Linked DNA regions of Notamacropus eugenii. The protein of the gene in region 3 binds, or shares a complex with, the protein of the main gene of each other region. Links are inferred from orthologs where the notes say so. Each region holds a gene or a part of one and is shown on either strand. Other genes may lie near its edges.

Region 1 (6,875 bases), on a different chromosome or scaffold from region 3:
CCAATGAGAAGGCTGGAGTTTGAGACTTGATTCAGATACTTAGACAGTAGATAATTAGCCCAATCTTTCTGAGTCTCAGATTTCTTCTCTGTAAAATGGAGAGAAGCCACTTCCAAGGTTTATTGGTTGGAAGGATCAGATCGGACAAGGCCTGTAGCTTCCCTCAATATCAGTTTTATGATTAGAGGTTAGAGTCTTGGGGGTTGAAGAGCTTGCCTGTTCTCTTGCCTGTTCCCTTCTCCTTTGGTCAGATTGGGAACTTTCAGTGGGCACGGATCCTAAAATGAGGGAGTAAGACCAGATGATCTCTCTAAAGTCCTTTCCAATGGTAAACCTATTATCAAATCAAATGTATTAAGTGCCTCCTAAGTGCAAGACACCATGAGTACAAAATATACACAAATAAGTCAGTACAACAGAATTTGAGGATGGGGAGTGCACTAACCAGGGTGCTCAGGAAAGGTTTTGTGTAAGGAATGGGACCTGAGCTGAGGTAGTTGAGAGAGCTGGTGGTTAGATTTTCAATGTGAGTGTTGGCAAATGCTTAATTTGTAAATCAAGGTTTGATTTATTGGTTTTGTTGGTTTTCAGGCTTAAGAAAATGATGGAGAAAATTTAATAATGTAGATTAAACTTAAAAGTATATCTGGATACATTTGTTTTCCCCCAACACACCCACACCCACACCCACACACCCACACCCACACACACAATGTTGTTAAACATTCCCAGTACACCTAGGCTCTATAGAATCTTTGTGGGATCCTAACTTGCTGACTGAAATTCCAGAAGTATTTCCACTACCCCTCAGTGCTTCTCAGAGTGGCTAAAAGCACATTGGGGAAACTGGAGGAGTATTCATGGAAGATCCACTCTCAATTCACCCCTTCAGGCAGACTAAACCTTTACAGTTAGAAGGGACCTTTGAGGTCATCAAGTCCCACACAGGTGAAGTGATTTGCCCCAGGTACTGAGGCAGGATTGGAGTCCAGCCCTCTATCCACTATACCAGGCTAGTTTAGGGAAGCTAAGGATTCTCAGAGGCAGAGAAGAGGAAGGAACACATTCCAGACATGGGGGAAGGTCTGTGGGAAGGCACAAAGACAGCAGATGGAATTTTGGGAACACTAGCAGGCCAGTTTGGCTTGACTGTACAATGAGTGAAAGGGGGTAATATGAGATCTCTACAAAGGCATGTTGGAGCCAGAGTGGGGAGGGCTGAAATGCTAGTTGGAGGAGTTAGTTTTTATCCCAGAGGAAATAGGGACCCACTAGAGTATTTTTGAGCAAACATAAGGCCTGTACTTTAGGAAGATTGTTTTTGCAAACTCTATGAAACGTGTATTGGAGAAAGGAAGAAACTGGAAGCAGAGAGCCTCATTAAAAAGCTGCTGCAATCATACTAGGATGATGGCGGTCCTCAACTAGGGTAGGGGCCATGGGAATGGAGAGAAAGGTTCAGATGCAGGAGATGTTATGGAGGCAAAATGCAGAAGACTTGGATATGACCAACTATGATTCCATATTTCTTCCTCCCTTTAGATCATCCCTCACCTGAGAGTGCCAGAGTCAAAGAAGGGAAAACCTTACAACACGATATGGCACTGGGTAGGGCTAATTACTAAACAGAAGAAAGAAGAAACAGATTTCATCATCTAAGTAGACGTACAACATGGTCCTTTCTGGGTAGAGTCCTAAACTGCCCTTAGAGAAAGATCAATTTGCCCAAACAAGCATATATTATCATCTCTTCAGGAAAAGGGAGGAAGTATAATGGTCTAGACAGTATGCACAGTAGATGTTGGTCTACAGAGCCAAGGTGGTCAGGGAGAGTAGGGTAAGGGGAGTGTCCCAAGATGGCAGGGAATGGGTTTACAGGAGAGTCAGAAGAAAAAAACAGAAATGCTGGCCCCCTAAAGGACTGTCTCTTAAGGAGGGCCATAGGAGCATAGAATTTAGAGCCAAGATCATCTTTTCCCATTTCCCATTTTAAAGATAAGGAAATTGAAGGTGAGAAAGGGTAATAGCTAGTAAATGTCTAAGTCAGGACTTGACTTAGATATCATACTCCCTTTGGCAATAAAAGGGTTGTGGCTATGGGGTTAGAGTTATGGGGTCAGATTGGGGGTCCAACCCATCAAGAGCCCTGAAATCTAGGGGAAGACCTAACTGAGACAAAGGTCAAGAAGAGGCCAGAACTTCCAGTCCTGGAAAGGGTCATCACTTGTGGTAGAGACCAACTTGATTCTGCCCACATACATGGGATTTAATATTTCAGAAAAACCTCCTTTGGAGCCAATGGAACAGAAAGGAACTCCTGATAAGATTCTGCAGCCTTACTTGAGGTCCCCAGGATACTTCCAGTTTATTCCTTTACATTAAAACTTTCAGTGGCTCCCATCACCTACCAAATAAAATAAAACCTCCTGGCCCTGTTATTTAAGGTCCTTTGCAAAGTGATGCAAACTCACTATTAAATCATGCATAATTCTTCCTGTTGGTGGCATATCGACTTAGAAAACCACAAATTAACATTATCTATGTTCTATTGTATTTTAATTTATTTTTGTTAAACATTCCCCAATTACATTTTAATCTGGTTCCTATATAATAGGCACCTCTGCCTACAACATCTGTACCACATGTCTTTATCTCATACTATTTTCCTTCATGAGATTACTCTCCATTCCCATTCTCTACCTGCTGGCTCTCATCTGTGTCCCTTCACTCTTAATCATACCCCATGCCTGAAAAGGATACCTCTACTCCTATCTCCAGCCTTTTAATCCCCTCTTCTTTCAAAGCCACATCCTCCAAGAAATCTCCCCTGAGACTGTCCCCACCCCCTCCCCCAACCTCCTTTGATTCTTTTCCTCCTTAAGTGTCCCATGACACCTTACCAGGATTCTCCTTTGCACTTATCTCACACCCCCTTATATCATAGCTGCTTATATAATTGTCCTTCCACTCTTCCCCATTTAGATCACAAAGTCCTTAAAAGCAGGATTAATATCATACCTTTGTACCCTCAGCAGCTTGCACAGAGTAGGTCTTTAAAGATAATTAAGTTCAACTAAATCAATGCAGAAAAGACTATATACACTTTAGAACTGGGACATGTTACCAAAAAGTGCTAAAAAAAAAAAAAGTGAGGGAAATGGTGTGATGAAGAGATCAGATATTTAGAGGACAGATGGGTCACACCAAGTCTGTAGAAAGGAGAGTTGGAGAAAGACTCAAGAAACTAACATGGTCATCCAGAGAGCTCAGTCCCAGGACCACGCTTTAGAAGATAAGAGGCATCTATTCACTGGAAAAGCCCATCTACCCTTGCAAATCAGTAAATCAACATATTGGTGCTGGTAAACAGGGGAGGGGGAATCTAGAAGGTGTAGTTTGGCAATCTGATTTGGGAGTGAGATAGTGCAACTGAGAAGGATGATCTTGGGAAGTTCAGAGCCTATGGGTTACCTAAACAACATTATTTAACTAGTGATCCCTATGTGTTGGGGACCAGAGTTATAGACTAGGGATTAGAGGTTTAGGCCTATGGAGTGGAAGTCATAGGAATTCCAATTATAAGGCCGAGGTTTTCTGGGAATAGGGATATCCCATCCTGGAATCACAATATGGGCTTCACGCCTGGAAATCAGCGAATTTTTCCCCCTCCCTACTCCCCAAGGGCTGACCCCAACTCACCTCCCTGCTCTGCCCTAGGCTGTAGCCAGAGGGCTAGCAGCCCTGGGACTTGGGGGGTGGCGGACAAGGGGGAGGTGTGGACTCAGGCCAGCTCCTCTCCTCCCACGCCCCTGACACCCCTGACTCCTCCTCCTCCTCCTCCTCCTCTGGATCTGAGTTGCGGATGCTCTGCCGCCGGGCCCTCGCTGGGGTCCTGGGGCCCTTGGGGGCCCGGGGATAGGGTGGGGATGCTCTCGATCCCCTCTCCAGCCCCGCTGAGCCCTGGGGGCCGCTTGCTCGGCCCGCCGGCACTCGGGAAAGACCAGGCAGGAGTTGTAAAGTGTCTTCTTCCAGCTTCTTCCTGCCTGGCCCTACTCCGCCACTCCCTCCCCTGTAATATACCGTTTCCTATTGCCAAACGCGTTTACAGGGACTGCTCTCTCCCTGTTTATGGGGCCGCCTCCCCTCTCTTCCTCGCCAGCTGACCATTCCCTCCGGTCTCCCCCGCACCCCCTCCACAAACCTCCCACATCCGCTGCTCCCTCCAGCCCAGCCCAGCCCCGGCTCCAGCTCCCTGGCCTTGCTCGGGAATGGGGATGAAGTGGGGGGGTAGGGCCCCCGCTTTGGGGGCTGGAGTCACCAAATGCAAATCATCATCAGCTCCAAAAGCCCAGCTGCTCCATGTGAGGTAGTGGGGTCCAGAGCCTCTGCTGCTCAAGGCAAGCATCCCAGTGTAAGGAACGAATAGCCCGGCTCTGGGACCTCCGACAAGTTAGCTCGCTTGTCTGTGCTTCATATCCTAACCTATAAAATGAGGAGTACTTACTCTCCAATGCTCTTTTTAACTCTTAAAAAAAATGGATTATAATCTATTCTCTCCTTAAGGCTGTCCCCAGTGAGAGGGTTAGGAGCCAGGCTGAGCAGTGGGGGAGTGAGAGATTCTGGAAAAAGTAGCTCAGGCCTGAAATTGTAAGTCATATCTCAAGGGTGTTGGAAGGGTTTGTTCAAGTCTGTGCCAAGACATACCTGTTGGGACGAGTCCGTTCCAAATTTGGGGTAGTCACCGGGAAGGAACCAGAGTGAGCCTCTTGGGACTAACCTTTCCTATTCCCTGCTCTCCACCATTGTTGGGAAAGGGGTTCATCAAAGGAGCATAAGGAAACACAAAGGGGAAAAAATAAATGGAGTTCCCCAAATGAGGTGGGATTGGGCCATCTCTTTGTAATGGTAGAGAAGGGTCTGGGAATCAAAGGGTACCACAAGCTGGCTAAGCAACAGTTGCAAGGATTGAGTTGCTTCTGCTTTATCTCAGCTCCTTTGGTGACTGACTTCCTTTCCTCTGTTGACATGTTATTATCAGTTGTGAAGACTATGAATTTCCAGAACCTGTTTGAGATATAGCAAGGGTTAAGAAAAAAGAAATCAAAGTGGAAAAATTAAGGCAAGAAGCAACAGGGAGAGAGAAACAAGGACGGAATGCTAAGCATCTAAAGGTAGTGGAGCTGGTGGGCAAAGGGGAAAGAAAAGTCTTTCAGAAGGGCTCTTCCTGGAGGGCTTTTTTGGAGAAGAGTAGATCAGAGGTCTGAAGGGGAAGGACAGGGCTGGGATAAGAGTGGGGAGGTGAGAGATATTCAGAGTCTCTGCTCTTCTCTCCATTTTAATCAGCCATCGCTGACCTAGTTTACAGTCTTCTGTTCAGTGACACATGGATTGGGAAAGAGCTAAAAGTCAGACCTCTGAAGAAAGGGGAAAGGAATTAGAATCTGTGTCCAAGTCTACAACGATTTACTGCTCAGAGGGACCAGCTGTTCCCCATATCCAGGGAGGAAGCAGGCCAAAGGCAGATACTGAGATTAGACATGCAGAAGAACTTCCCAGTTGAGTCAGGCAGGAGACAGGGGAGCAGGGGCCCAAGGGAGCTTGGGAAGTGAGATTTTAAAACCTAGGAAATACATGTCTGAGGCTAGAGAGGTGGGAGAGGGTAGAGAGGGAGTTGTCATTTTGAGTCCAGACTTGGAGCATGATAGAGGCAGAGTAGAGTGGGGGGGTGATGAATTAGAAAGCATTTGTAGCCAGAATTAGATGGGAAATTTCCTTGTGTCCTCTTTGCATTAGGAAGGGAAGGGGAACAAAGATGGGGCTAAATCGCCAAGGGGTGGAGGAGGTCTCATGGATCCCTCACTCCTCTGAATACTAACAACAGCTAGTGTTTTAATCAGAGTAGCTTGGCCCTTAATTATAGGATGTCTTCTGTAATTGTCCCAACTAGATTGTGAGCTCCCGGAAAACAAGTCTCTCAAGCTCTCTTGGCTGCCTTTTCCCCATATATAAAAAGAAGTGTTGGAACTAGACTACCTCTGAGGCCTTGTCCAGCTTGAAATGTGTGAACCAATGATCCACAGTCACTCAGGGCGCTGACTCAGAGAAGATTTCACAGCTTATCAGAGCTAGACAGGGTCATCCAAATTGGTTAGTAACTAGCTTCTTGGCCAACCCCTCCTTGTACAGGTGAGGCCCACAGAAATGTAGCTTATCCAAAGTTCTATAGAGAGTAAAGAGGGAATGGAGCCAGGATTTGAACTCAGTTCTTTTGACTCTAATTCCATTCCTCTAGGCTCTGACTCTCCAGACTTCTTTCTCTACCAGGCTCCAGAAAACCTCAACCCAGGAAGATTCCTGGGGCCCCTTCCCCTGATCTAGCAGTTCCTCCCAGAAGCTCCATTTTAAGGAAGGGCCCAAGGCCAACCATGCTCACATTCCCCTTCCTCTTCAAGTTCCACTCCCAATACTCCAAACTTCTTTCTCATATCTCCTTACACTCCCTTTTCCTAGCTTTCTGTTATGTTTTTCACCATTAGAATGTAAACTCCTTGACAGCAGAAGCTCTCTTCCTTCCTTCCTTCCTTCCTTCCTTCCTTCCTTCCTTCTTTTCATTCCTCCTTCCTTCTTTCCTTCCTTCCTTCTTTCCATTCTCCAAGGGCTAATTTACAGCTTTGGTGCCAGATACCAAGGACAAGAGAGGTCCCTAATGGGCTATGTACCATTATTTTAGCTGACTGTTCCTCCTCTACTCTCTGCTATCCACCTTGTAATTGCCCCAACCTCCCAATAAGTGCTGTAACCTAGAGAAGGAGAATCTCCATCCTAGACCAGGTGAGATTTCTGTATCTGGTCCTAGACCTCACAATGTCAGAGGG
Region 2 (6,875 bases), on a different chromosome or scaffold from region 3:
TCATTACTGTCTAAGTAGGTATTGTCTGAATGAGTATTTAGAAGAAAATTTTTAAAAAGACTGATTTGAAATATATTGAGTTTGAGGTACCAGTGAGAGTGCAGTTAGGCAGCTAGAGGTGTGGGTATGGGTTTTGGAGGGAGATCAGGGTGAGAAATAAAAGACTTAGGAGCTGTCTCTCCTTGAAACTATTGAAAGAGAATGACACTCTCAAGAATGAAGTCTAAGAGCCAAAATACAACCTTGGACAATTTAGGAACTAGGAAAAAGATAAGAAAACAGTGAAGGAGACAAAAACAAAGTGTGGTGTCCCTAAAGCCAATATATGAAAAAGCATCTCAAAGAAATATGCTTGTAAAGAACAAAAATGAGAACTGAAAGCTCATTTGATTTGGTAATATGGAAATCATCCTTGACTTTGGAAAGAGCAATTTCAGCAAAGTAGGAAAGATGGAAGTTAGATTTCAAGGGAAAGGGAATGGTAAGTAAAGAGCCTGGATAAAAACAACTTTTTAAAATAAGTTTAGTTAAGAAGGGGAGAAAGGAAGAGAAGTGGGGTGGTGGCTACATGAGGTGGAAGGCTCCTCCTGCCCCAGATCTGAGTACATTCCTTGATACTTGGGAAGGAAATGGTGAGAATAAGACTGAAGATGTATCAAAGAAAGGGATGAATGTTGAAGCAAGGGGGAAGGTAGAGGGAATGGGATCAAAGGCATGCATAGGATGTGTTTATGTGTAGAAGAAAGAAGGAAAAAGAGGGGAGGAGGGGAAGAGAAAAGGGTGAACGGAGGAAGGAGAGAGAGAGAGAGAGAGAAAGAGAGAGAGATTCTTAAGTATTTAGTTATGTGCTGAAGACACAAATATATACAAGGAGATAGTTTCTACCCACAAGGAGCTACATTCTAATGGCAGAAGACAACAAAAGGGCAAGCCGACTTAAGGCAAGGGGCCTGGCCAGGACATGGAGAAATCAAGACAGTGATCTGAAGTGGGAGAAAGAAAAGTTAAGGAAGCTCCTCATAAGATGGTCTCAATTTTTTCTGAAAGCAGGTGTTCTTAACTTGAAGTACACTTTGACTATGTCAGGATGGGTAGAAAGTGAAATATCAAATAAACAGAAACTACAGGAAAGACTGAGGAGAGATAGTATCAGAGGTCATAATGTTGTTCACCTGAAAAGACAACCACTTTCCAAAGGGGAGGATGCAATGTGGGGGCAGTGCCTATCAGTGCTGGTTCCAGAGTAAGAGAACTCACATTCAGCAAGTAACTTTATCTCCCCTCGACTCAGTTTCCTCATCTGTAAAATGAGGAGGTTGGCACAGCTGACCTCCAAGGCACCTTTCTATGATCTGTAAGCCTATGAGGAATAGGAGCAGCTCACCACTCCACCAAAGGTAATACCAAAGTGTGAAAGTTCAGCCTAGCAGACAGTACTGGGTAAAGGTCCTTTCACACCACAGGAACACCAGGTACCCTAATCAAGTGCCTTCCCAAAGCTGGCAGAGCAAAAGTAATGAAATATTCTACATATCAGCGATTAGCAAGAGTTCTTAATTCTATTATACATATCCTTCAAAAATTCAGTTTTGTATATCTTTACCTGAGCAGATTTTGAATTCTTCAAAACGTAAATAGAGAAGTAACTCCCCAACCTGTAAGCCAAAAAGGTCTCTCAAGTTTTTTGTGAAGGACATATGAATTCATAAATAAACACGTAAGCAGAATACATCTCACAACACAGGTAGTACTATTTTTCAAATGTATGTACTTAATAAGATGCAAATTCATTTAAAGGTGTTACTGAGTTCATAGTAGATTGTCTTATGTATTTTCCACAACTCCAGTCATGGGAAGGGGTGTGTGTACACGTGTGTGTATGTGAAATCCATGAAATATTCTGACATTAAAAAGGAGTCCTAGCACTGAAAAGATTGAGAAATGCTACACTAGTTAAAGAAACATAATTAAAAATGCTGGGGGTTTTTTGTGAATTAAACCAGTCAAACTTTATAATTCACTATACCTACACCACAAGCTATGATTTAAATGGCAACAAAAAAAGTCCCAAACTCTTTTTAGGTTATCATTCTAAAAACTTTTATTATTAGAGATAGAAAATAATGTTTAAATCCATAATTTTATCCTACTCTATGGAGGTCATATCACGAATGATTTCATTGGAGAGGCAGACTACCATAGTGACTAGGACCTTGGACTTGGAGTTGAGAGGGTCTGAATTCAAATCCTAACTTACCAGTACTAGTTACTTATTTGTTGAGTGATCCTGGTCAAGCCACTTAACCTTTCTGAGCCTTAGTTTCCTCACCTGTAAAATGGGGATAATAATAGTGCCTAATACGGATCAACTGAAATAGCATGTTAGGAAAATCAAAGGAAGTAACAGGTAAAGCACTTTGCAAAAAGTAAAATGCTATATAAATGCTACATATTATTGAATTTACATTCCAGTACAGCCGCAGGCACAACAAAAATGCTGACATAAAAATGCTGAAAGCCATGATGTCTGTTTCCCACTGCACCTTGCTGGAAAATCACTGCCATTTACTTTTTTAAAATTTTGCATTTAACATATGCAGCTTCCATATGTAGATTAAAATGCTACATATGAAGGATGTTTCACTACCTAACATAGTCACAAAGAAATTTTAAAAAAGTTATTTGTTCCCTAAAAGAGATAAATAAGGAGGCAAAATAATTAATCTATTACACTGAATACTGAGTTTTAAAATATTTTCAACTGAAAATACCAAATTATTTTTATATTATAAACATATTCATCCTAAAAGTAAAAGGCAACATCAAAATATCCTAGGCACAAAAGTCACTATAACATGTGTTGTTAACAAGCAATCTTTCTCGAAGCAGGCCCTTTTTAAAAAATGGAAAACAAGGAAGCACACCCTGCGCTTATCAAGAAGCTCACACAACGTTACCGTATGTATGGAAACATTGTCAAATTTTCCTTGTGGTTAAATTAGTAATCTGTATGCTATTTTTAAACAGAGACAATATTATAAGTACGGTTCGATAGTGAAGATGAGTAACTGATTACATAAAATAGTTCTATATTTTGTCTTCCAAGCAATGGATAAAACACTGAAAGATTTCCACAAACTGGAGGAATAGCATGTCTAAAAAGGAGGGGTGACTGCTATAACTCATAAACTACAGTAATACTTCAAGTCTCACAAGACTCACACTCTTAAAGTTGTCTCAGTGACTGGAAAGTGATGTCAGAAAATATCTCTGTCCAACAGCAACCCTAAAAATACAGGAAAATATGGGGAACGAGTTTACCAGCTTCAGAGAATTAATCCCTGACATGCTTGTCTGTCCAAAAAGACCAGCAATTAATAGTATTACAACACCTGAAGAACATCACAGATCTGCTCATCATCATCTAATCTAGCCACTCAGGAACATATGAAAATAACACGAGTAATCTGGAGCTAACAACATTCCCCCCAAAAATGTTCCAAATTCAAAAATTAATAGTCCTGCATACGCTGTAATAAAAATGCCAAGCTTTAAACATAAATCTGCGTCTTTGAAAACTGAAAGCTCTATTCCCAAAGATCTCATAATGGCACACACAGTTCAGTGGTGATTAAAACATTATTTTTAATTCTCGCATTACCTCACAGCTAAAAATGTCATGATACCACACCCACTATGCTTTTTTCCTAGTTGGGGAAAAAATACCAAGAGAAATGTATAAATAACACCAATATGTTAAGTGATTAAATTCCAGTTGACTGAATGGAAAAACGTATGCAATTATTATACAGTTTTTCTCCCCGAAATAGTTATTCGATCCGCATCGGCGCCTTGACTGGGACAGCAGACAGCCTGCTTTTTCCTCGATCACACGCTCAGTTAAATGCCAGCCCTGCCCCTTCTCTCCCCCACCCCAGATGGAAATAGCTGGCTAGTCAACAGCACCCAGAGGCTACTCACCAGCCGCAGTGCTGATCAGCAACACCGTCCAGGAAAGCAGCAGCAGCGGCCCGAGGCTTTGCAGAGGGGCAGTCATACCTGGGCAAGCCACGGAGCCAAAGAGGGTCACGAAAATAGGAGAGAAAGGGAGAAGCGCCGGCAGGAGGAATCCCCCCCTCCTTTTCCCGTTTTGAGTTATCTTGATGTTCCTGCTTGGAATTCTCACAATGCAGTTTGAAAGGACAAACAGCAGATGCTTAAAGGACCCGTCTGCAGAGCTGGGACTCCACTGCAGAACATTCCCTTCATTTCTCTCCTCCTCGGACGTGGTTCAGGCCAGGGGGGCCGCGCGGCTGTGCCCTCCAAACAGGATGCATGCTCCGGACCGAGAGGTGGAGAGGGGTGGGGGCCGGGGGCGTCTGCGGAATCACCACGATGCTTTCCCACGTAGTTTCACAATATCGAAAAATGAGCCCGGTTTGGAAGGAAACATAGCCAGGGAGCAGGTGCGAGTAGGGGGAGGTCTTCCGAGGCAGACCGAGGGGGGCGGGGGGAGCCCCTACAACGTCGCCCCTACAACTTCCCTGCGTGGGGAAGGGGCGATGCCGGCGGTGGCGTCAAGCCCGGGGCTCCAGGCCGCATCGCGCGCCGCTCCCGCTCCTGGTGCGTGGTGGGGGGCTAGGGGAACAGGCCGGCTCCGTGGGTGGGGGGCACGTCCCTCCTAAGGAAGTTTCGCTTCAAATCACTTCGATTTCAAGGCGGACGAGATGCGCAAAGGTGACTCCCCCCATGATCCGCCCGGGCCGCCGAACCGAAACCAGTAAGCCCCCGGCGCGTGCGAATGCCAGGGACCGAGGGAGGAGGGCAGGCCGGACGGGGTCCCCCCGGCCTCTTCTTCTCCTTGGGCCGCCTCCTTTTACGCTCCAAGTCCCGGGACCGCGGCTCCGCGAGCCGCTCCGAGGTCCATTCCCCCGCCGTCCGGGTCTCGTCGTCGCCTCCTCCTCCCGTCAGCGGTCCCCCAGCGTCGCCCCCCCCGCCCCCCGAGGAAGCCGGGGCTGCCGCCGCCGGGTCGCGCCCCGCGCCCTCCTCGCTCGGCTCTCCCGCTGCGGAGGCTGGGGCTGCGGCTCCTCGACGCCCGCTCCCCGCGGGGCTCGTGGGGGGAGGGGGCGGCGGCGCGGGGATGGAGGCGCCCGGGGAGGGGGAGGGGGCACCTAGACACACCGCACCCCGGCGGAGAGAGCAGCTCGCGAGCCTCGGACCAGAGCAGACCAGACACAAAGGGGGGAGACGCTGCAGCTGCCAGTCTGCGGCGCTCCGGTCACCGGGCGTCGCCCCGCCCCCTCCTCCACCTCCTCCTCAGTCTCTGTCTCTTCTCGGCCCCGTCTGTCTCCAGCCTGCGGTCGAGCCCGGGTGGTGGTGGCGGCGGCGGCGGCGGCGGCGGCTACGGAGGAGCACCACTGCGGCTGCGCGGCCTCGCGAGCCCCACCTAGCCCCGCCCCTCCCTCGAGCCTCGAACTGGGAGTGAGTGAACCCTCCCCCTTTCCGGTGGGTTTCACTAGTCTAGAGCCTGGAACTTGGGCGGGGGATGGGAACTAGGGTCAAAACTAGCAGCACACACGCACACACATCCCCTTTCTACACTAGCTTGTTGCACGTTCAGTTTGGTGTGTGTGCGCGTGTGTGTGTGTATGTGCGCGTAGGGAGGGAAAAGAAAGGGGAAAGCGCGATAACATTTTCTCGTAAGAGCTCTGCGAACTTCTGGGAGCAGTGATTTTCACCCAATCTCCGCCTCTCCCCTCGACGATTGGCTCATAGAAGTGTACTCTGGGAGGGTCCTCTTAGTTCATTGGTTCTCGGGGAGAAAGGTGGCCTACCTGGGAGTTGTAGTCCCAGGTACCAAAAAAAAAAAAAAAGAGAGAGAGAGAGAATTGAATTACGAGCTGGACTCGATTCTCCCTGGGAATCCGAGCGCTTGGTCTTCCTGTATGTATCCTTTCCTGATTTAAAGAAAAGCGAACAAATTCAGCAAAACAAAGCCAACCTATTTTCCTCCTAACCCCAAAATGCTCTCCCATAAATACTCTCTCCATCTTCCAAACCCTTCCTGATAGCCCCTAGAGACCTCGTGGAACAACTGGCTTCTAAAGCGCTGTCCTCCCAGCCGGTCCCACGGATGCTGAATAAAGCTTTGTACTGCATGGAAGGGTCTGGCACAGGCTATCCCCCACCCACAAAGCTGGAAGTCGCTTCACTTCCCTTTGCTCCAGGCAGCCTTTGTCAAAGGAGCATTAAGCATCAGAGGTGGTGTTTAAACCTGAGCACTCTCACTCCAGCCCTTCATTTTCCCAAAACGACATTCCCAATCTCTTTATCAGAAAGACCTGAGTTCAAAATACGACCTCAGACACTTCACTTCACTTCTGGCTGTTTACTCATCAATGAAATGGGGATGGGAGGGTGTATGGGGATTAGGACAGATAATACTGGAAAAGCGCTTCGCAAACTTTAAAGTGCTAGCTATTTTTACTATGGCTCCTTTACAATTCACTGGAGGGGGAGGAGGGAAGACTTTAAAAACAGACCATGGAGAGGTTGCTTTTCTAATGCATTTTTTTCTTTTTTTAATTATGCCTTTTGCATGACCTGCCTCAAGTCTGGAGAACTGCGAAAGTCCCATTTGGATGGTCCCATTTTTTCCATTTGCTTGTACCCAGACAGCAAGGATTAGGAGAGGATGTTTCTTTGCCTCCTCCCACCAGGAGCCCAAACAGCCCGCTGCGGCAGACGCAGACGCTGGTGGGGGTGGGGGGCTGTTTCAGGGAAGGGGAGGGGCTCGGAGCCCGGTGACGCGAGCTCCCAGTCTCGCCATGTTCGGAAGCAGTCTGCAGCTGGCACTCCGCCTGCGGGAGAAGAGC
Region 3 (6,875 bases):
TTAATCATTCTCTCACAGTTGGACTTTGAGGCTGCTTCTAGTTTTTCACTGGAACATTAGACCTAACAATGAGAACTGTGGATGGCCAAGGGGCTCTTTTTCATGCATGGATATGAATGATGGCACTCTCCAGTCTCTCAGCAGATCAGGAGTCCTTAGGAATAAGCACAGAGGTATGCGGCAGCACTCCAGAATAGGTTCTGGAGGGAGATGATTACTGAGTTTGTACTTGCCTGTGTACTGTCTCTATAAATGTGAATGTCATTTGTCTCCTTTCACAAGTTAGTGAATGCGGAATTGTTTTTTGCTAAAGTTCTAGAAAAACTTAAAGGAAGTAGCAAATAGAATGCATTTTGTGTGTGTGTGTGTGTGTGTGTGTGTGTGTGTGTGTAATGTTTTATGAAAGACATTGGAAGTGTAAAATAAATCTTTTAAAAATAAACTTATGTGAGCCTAATCAATAAATACACTTGAATCACATAATATCTGGTTTGATGGGTATGAATATAGGTCACAGAGTCACAGATTTAGTTCTGGAAAAGACCACTGAGAGATCATGGGCCATAGTGGGTCAAGGGCTAGCCTTGGAGTGGGGGAAGAATTGTATTCAAAGCCTGTTTCTGACACATTTTAGCTGTATGATCGTGGATGGGTGAGTCGCTTAATGCTCTTAGTTTTCTAGGCAATTCTGTAGACAAGAATGTGTTGGAGCCCAGCTCAAACCTGCTGGTCTATTGTGAAAAATCATCCAACCCTTCCAATCCAGGCTTGATTTATTGTTTTGGTGATTATCCAGACTTAAGAAAGTGATGGAGGAAATATTAATGGTGAAGATTAAAAGTACAAGTGTGTGATATGTTCATTTTTTTGTTTTTCCCAGAGAGCTGGTTCCTAAACATCTACCATACGTCATTATCTCTAATGTATAAGTAAGCTGTTGAGCTACATTGGTTTTGAGAGTTTCCATACCAGAAAGTTCTCTATATCAATGAAATCCCAGACCCAAACAACAACAGAAATGAATAGAGTTGAGCTTAAACTATATTGGTACGTTGGAAAGAGTTCACGTGGTAGAGATGGAAAGAACGATGGACTTGGGCTCAGAAGGACCCAGACCTTCTACCTGTGTGACTTTCTGTAAGTCTCTCTCATTGATAAAATGAGGGCGCTGGACAATAACATGATCTCCAAGGTCCCTTTCAGCTCAAAATCTATGATCTATGAAGAAGACTGCACAAATAAAGCAAACTATAGCCCAATGTGTGATGGAATATTGCTACAGAAAAGCATAATATCACAACTGTCTGGACAAAGCCATGTTAACCTGTCCTTCGATGCCCTGTCCATTACCTAGGAAGCTCTGCTAGATAGTAAAATTTATAAGGAACAATAGGAATAAGTTCTGTATTTAATTAGAAATTATAAACAGAATTCTAAGGCCATGGATTCAGTGAATAATTTTGTTCCACTCCATTCTACAAATATTAATTGAATACCTACTATGTGCATGGCAAAGTGCCTAGTCCTGAGGATAGATGAACAAACAACAGAAAACCCCAACAACTCCAGCACAGTCTCTTGGAGGAATGCTGGTAGAGTGGAAAGAGAATTAGCGTTTGAATGAGACAACATGGACTCTATCTCAACAATGGGAGACCTTGGATGAGTCACTTAATTTCCTTGTCCCTCAGTTTACTCATTTGTAAAATTCATGTAAATTAGCTGGCCTCTGAGGGCCCTTCCTGCTCCAAATCAATGATTCCATGGAGCTTGTAGAACTTATTAGTTGAGGCACCCACGAGGACAGATAAGTGGCATGTAAGGTAGGTTACAATAGAGTACAAGGGAGTAAGAACATAAATTATCACCAAAAAATTGGGGGAAGGAGACAGCTCATTCAGGATTGGCCGAATCATGGGGAAGAAAGTTCTTTCTGCAGTGTGTGGAGACATTTTAACCCTTTACTAGCTAATTTAATATAGTGGCCCCTTTCTTTTCTACGCTGTTGCAACTCTTCTTGAATATAAATGCAAAATAAGACTGTCACGTCATCCTGCGTTATGTCTGTTTTTTCAGAATTTCCTCCTTACGCTAAACCGACACACGGAAGCCAGTAAAAAAGGTTGAGTGGCAGTGAGAACTTAGAGGCAGACTGACAGACGGGGTATGGCCTGTTTGTGTGTAAAGGCATTCAAACAGAAAATGGTGATCTGATCAGAAGAAAATGAGCCCACTTCAGATGTAGTGCTATGGTGTCAGATAGAAAGGCCAACTGGGACATCTCTGCAAAGATCTGGATAAAAACGACATGAAAAAATCCTTGTTGGCACTTTCTAGACTTGCATATGCATTTATATTATGTATAGACATCAACAGGTATATGTATGTGTGTGCGTTTATAAACATCCAGTGTATGTGTATATGTATAAGATACATGGTGTATGTATATGTACACTATATAAAAATATACAGTATATATACATACACACAATGTATACATGTAGTGTGTACACACATATATACATATTGATTCTACATATAATGCATTTGTAAGTATATATGGTATCACGGGCTTACAGTATTTGTATTTTTTTATTTCAATACAGTGTACATGCATACACAAATATATGTACATAATATTGATGTCTATATATAACTGCATATGCAAGTCTATAACATGCCAGCAAGAATTTGTAGTATTTTTTCATACTTATTTTCTACGTACAGCATACATATATACAATATAATATAAATGCATACATATACACACATGTACATACACACATGTACTGGCCTACTGGATAGAAAAACATCCTCAGAACCAGGGAGACATGAGTGCGACCCTTTTTTGACATATATTAGTTGTGTGATCCTGTACAAGTCACAACCTTTCAGAGCACTATAAGTAGAATTCTAAGGCCATGTGATTCAGTGAATAATTTTGGTTCCACTCCATCCACAAATATTTATTGAACACCTACTATGTGCATGGCAAAGTGCCTAGTCGTGAGGATAGATAAACAACAAACTACGACAATCAATTGCAGAGAAGATACAGAACTCTATTGGTAGAGAGAGTTTTCTCATCCAGGAATTGCTTACACCAGTAAAATCCAAGGCCTAATTGCTATCACCACCCTATGCGTGTAAATTTATACATATATAATATATACATATATATATATGTAGGTTTTTATTTTTTAAAAATTTAGTTGAACTTATAACAGCAAAAGCCCAAACTTACCTTCATTTTTGAAACTTCTAATGATATTTGCAGATGGCATTGAAGTTCGATCAGTGGCAAATCTGTTATATAGCTCTAACATGTACTCTGGTGGGTCGACTTTGGCCGAATTGGGCAGGGGGATTTCAGACAGGTTCAATGTCTTCAGAAATTCATTTTTCACACTCTGTAGCAGAGTAGTAAAGTCAACACCATCTTGCTCTGAAAAAACATCATCCAGCAGGGGCAGCTCTTCTTCCAGGGGAGAGTCCTCCAGACTCATGATGGGGTTGCCAGATCCCAAGGAGGCTCCCAGGCACAGGACTGTGTAGAGTGGTAGGAGCTGGGAGCCCATGACTTTGCTCAAGCCCCCAAGCCCAGTGAAGTTTAGGTGTCAGTGGTCCGAGTGGTCCGAATCCTCTGGAGAGGACTTGACTTATGTCATCCGGAGTTGCCAAGTTTGGAAACTCTTTTAGAAGCATTCCCTCACTCTGTCCGTCTCTTTCCCTTCTGTTCCTCCTCTGCCCCCAAAAAAAGCCAGGTTGCTTTAATTGGACAGCAGGATCGCCTATGGGAGCCTAGCCTTTCTTATCTCTTTAGTGTAAACTTGTGCACCAGATTTTGTAGCTATCTCCCAATTCCTTTTTCTTTTAATGAGCATTTTGTAAACACTTCTACATTCTGACACTGGTGAGAAGATAGGACAATTTTCTTCTTGAAAGGGCTCTGTCTTGCTTCCTTTCAAGTAGTCTCTCTCAGCGGACATGGACACTTTTTGATCTTAAACATTTCTAGCTCACAGAGAAGAATGGATTGTCATGCACAAGAACGTAAGGATTGTCAAAAATTAACTCACTTCTTATTTCAATACTTACAGGAACTGCGATTTTGTACATACTGACACCCTGTCCATTGACACAGATCTTGACCTATTTATGACTTAGAAGATATTTTTTGATGGTCATTTCTTTATAGCTAATTGTCTGGTTGTGAGCTTCTCCACAATTAGCAGGGTTGGTCCTCCAATAATAGATACCTAAATCCATTGTCCTTCTGTACGCAATGTCATTTGGCTTCACCAGTGGTGGCCAGAGTTTATCTGCTGCTGGCATGGCCGTGGAAAGCCCATGTTTACCTCCAAACCACAGTGAGACATTAGAAGAGGACCTTAGTGGATGCTAGTCACCCTTACTTAGCTTGTTCCTGCAAGGATCCAGGATTTCCTTGCTTTGGACCCCTTCTCCACTGGCCCAGTTCTCAACCCCTCCATGCCTTAGTCATTGCCCTTCAGGAATTGCCTGGGTCTAAACAAAGTCAACACTACACACAAATTCATTTTTTAAAATAGTGACCCTTACACATTTCTGAAAAACCTCCAAACATCCATCATCACTGAGCTAATGCAAACTTCTTGAAAATTGTTTTGAAAGTCGACATGCTTTTTAGGTATAAAAAGAGACTTGAACTTGAAAATCAAAAGGAGAACAATCGTAAATTAAATAGCACCAAAGCACTCATGAATGCCTGTTAGTGTTTATTTGATTGGAAGCTTTATTACCTGCCTGTTAGTCAGTCAAGAAGCATTTTTAAAGCCCTTACTATGTGCCAGGCACTCTGCTAAGCACTAGAGATATAACAAAAGGCAAAACTAGTCACTAAATAGGGGAAATGACCTGCAAACAACTATTTACATATGGGCTATAAACAGGATAAATAGGAGGAAATCTTGGAGGGACTAAATGTTCACCCCTCAACAACCAAAAGTTTTAATCTTGTTAACGCACATGTTTAGAGAACAAAGATGAAATAGGCTAGGACTTATTCAGGGGGCCGTGTCTACCATGGTGTTTGTTTGGAGCCCTATTAGGTTGTCCCTGAACCAGTGATGATGAACAGAGCCAGGAGGATGCCTATAGGAAAGATGCTGGGTTAGAAGTGAAACATCAGCTCTGATTCTTAATTCTTCTAAAATCTTGACTGAGAATCCCTTGTTCATAGAATTTAGAGTTGAAAGAGAGCTACCTTAGGGATCACATAGTCTAGTCCCCTCATTTTACAGATAAGGAAATTGATGAGAGCAGAAGTCACTTGTAGAAAGTCACACAAGATCTACATGGAATAACCTGGACTTGGATTCAGATGAACGAGTCTTTCCATGACACCTCATTGGCTCATATAATATGGTTCAAACAATAGCTTAGGGATAGCAGAGTTGGAGTCAGGAAGACCTAGGTTCTAACCTTGCTGCAAACACCTCCTAATTGTGGAACTCTGAGCAAGTCACTTAACCTCATGAACCTATTTCCTATTCTGTAAGATGAGGGAATTGAACTGGATGACTTCTAAGGCCCCTTTTAGTCCTAAATCTAAGATCTTTTGAACTCTCTAAAACATTTGAACGACTGACCTAGCAAATTCATTGGCTATAATGAAGGCAAGGGAAAGAAGAAATTGCATGGTTGAATTAATTTTTCTCCCTCCCTCTCTCTTTCTCCATCTCTCTGCTTCTGTCTCTCTTTGTTTCTCTGTGTCTGTCTTTCTATCTGTCTGTCTGTCTCTCTCTCTGACCAAGTTTCCAATTCCTCTTCCTGCCCTCCAACTCTGTAGGCTGTCTGCCCTTTTTGATCTCTGTTCATGATATTGTAGAGTATCCATTCCTTGAGATTACTCCCTAAGTCCTTAGTACTTACAGATATTGGTTCAAATGAAATTCTCTGGTGAAAGTCTCTTCAGTAGCCTTAGACCTCAATCCTGTCATTACTATTTAAAAAAAAAAGTCAGTTATAGACTGTCAATAGGAGGGGCTCAGAATAGCCACACTCCTGGAACCCAGGACTGGTCCTTGTTGCAGTGGTGCTAACATTTTCACATGGAGCTTTCTGACAGCACATCAGCCAGGCCTTGGTTATCCTGGTCTGCATCAAAACAAGCACCCAACTCTCTTCAACAAACAGAGGCATGTCAACACACACTTCAACAAGCTGAATGGCAGGCAGATGCAGAAGGCCTCCATAGGACAGATGTGTGAGGGGCTTCACTGCTAAGTGGAGTGAGCTGTCTCTCCAGGTCATGGGAGAGAGAGAGACATAGACAGAAGCAGAGGCAGAAATAGAGGAATGTAGAGGCATAGAGAAAGACAGACAGAGATAGGGAGATAATGACAGAGAGGCAAAGATTGAGACAAAAAGAGAGAGACTGAGAGAAATAGAGAGAGAAAGAGAAAAAAGAGAGAAGGGGAGATAGAGACAGAGAGAAAGAGTAAGGCAGAGACAGATGGGGGAATCAGACAGAAACAGAGAAATACAGACAGTGACCTAGAGATAGAGAGACAGAGAAAGAAACAGAGAGAAACAGAGATACAATGAGAAACACAGGCAGAAGCAGACACACTCAGAGACGGAAAAACAAGTACCAATGAAGACAGGGAGGGAGATACACAGATCTTCCAGACAGCAGAAATCAGTCTTTGTGCCCACAAGAGCTTAAAAACAAATCCATCTTGTATGTTTCATATGTTCTGTGATCTTTTACTGTCTCAGTGTTGGCAGCAAGGCCTTGTGGGGAGTAAGAGAAGGACCTTGGCTGAAGTCTGAGAGCTGACACTTGAGTGATTGATCCCAAGGCATCAAATGCTTCTTGAGACCAGCTCTGC

What was found.
Region 1: the proteins of BMP10 (region 3) and ACVRL1 are in contact, whole or in part, in a crystal structure (PDB 6SF1), measured with the Homo sapiens proteins. The link is inferred for Notamacropus eugenii from reciprocal best matches to the Homo sapiens genes BMP10 and ACVRL1. Residues at the interface, in NP_055297.1 of Homo sapiens: Tyr322, Asn357, Tyr358, Pro359, Ala361, Glu362, His363, Pro366, Thr367, Lys368, Ile371, Leu375, Leu378, Lys379, Ser381, Lys386; in NP_000011.2 of Homo sapiens: His40, Val54, Val56, Arg57, Glu58, Glu59, His66, Gly70, Asn71, Leu72, His73, Glu75, Leu76, Phe84, Val85, His87.
Region 2: the proteins of BMP10 (region 3) and BMPR2 are in contact, whole or in part, in a crystal structure (PDB 7PPA), measured with the Homo sapiens proteins. The link is inferred for Notamacropus eugenii from reciprocal best matches to the Homo sapiens genes BMP10 and BMPR2. Residues at the interface, in NP_055297.1 of Homo sapiens: Tyr329, Lys333, Asp338, Ser339, Trp340, Ile342, Ala343, Pro344, Pro345, Gly346, Tyr347, Glu348, Glu395, Pro396, Ile397, Ser398, Ile399, Leu400, Leu402, Val407, Tyr409, Phe411, Ala417; in NP_001195.2 of Homo sapiens: Asp38, Ser64, Tyr67, Leu69, Lys81, Cys84, Trp85, Ser86, Ile88, Gly89, Asp90, Pro91, Gln92, Glu93, Thr103, Thr104, Pro105, Pro106, Ile108, Tyr113, Phe115.

What each region holds. Positions count from the first base shown.
Region 1 is NC_092874.1:224,312,483-224,319,357, reverse strand, and holds the start of ACVRL1 (activin receptor type-1-like), read right to left. Parts: upstream 4,498-6,875; 5' UTR 3,700-4,497; intron 1-3,699. UniProt on the Homo sapiens protein: Type I receptor for TGF-beta family ligands BMP9/GDF2 and BMP10 and important regulator of normal blood vessel development. On ligand binding, forms a receptor complex consisting of two type II and two type I transmembrane serine/threonine kinases.
Region 2 is NC_092877.1:298,673,482-298,680,356, reverse strand, and holds the start of BMPR2 (bone morphogenetic protein receptor type-2), read right to left. Parts: upstream 4,802-6,875; 5' UTR 4,058-4,801; coding exon 3,982-4,057; intron 1-3,981. Other genes in the region: uncharacterized protein, read left to right, coding at 4,802-5,485. UniProt on the Homo sapiens protein: On ligand binding, forms a receptor complex consisting of two type II and two type I transmembrane serine/threonine kinases.
Region 3 is NC_092872.1:632,854,335-632,861,209, forward strand, and holds the start of BMP10 (bone morphogenetic protein 10), read right to left. Parts: upstream 3,735-6,875; 5' UTR 3,579-3,734; coding exon 3,245-3,578; intron 1-3,244. UniProt on the Homo sapiens protein: Required for maintaining the proliferative activity of embryonic cardiomyocytes by preventing premature activation of the negative cell cycle regulator CDKN1C/p57KIP and maintaining the required expression levels of cardiogenic factors such as MEF2C and NKX2-5.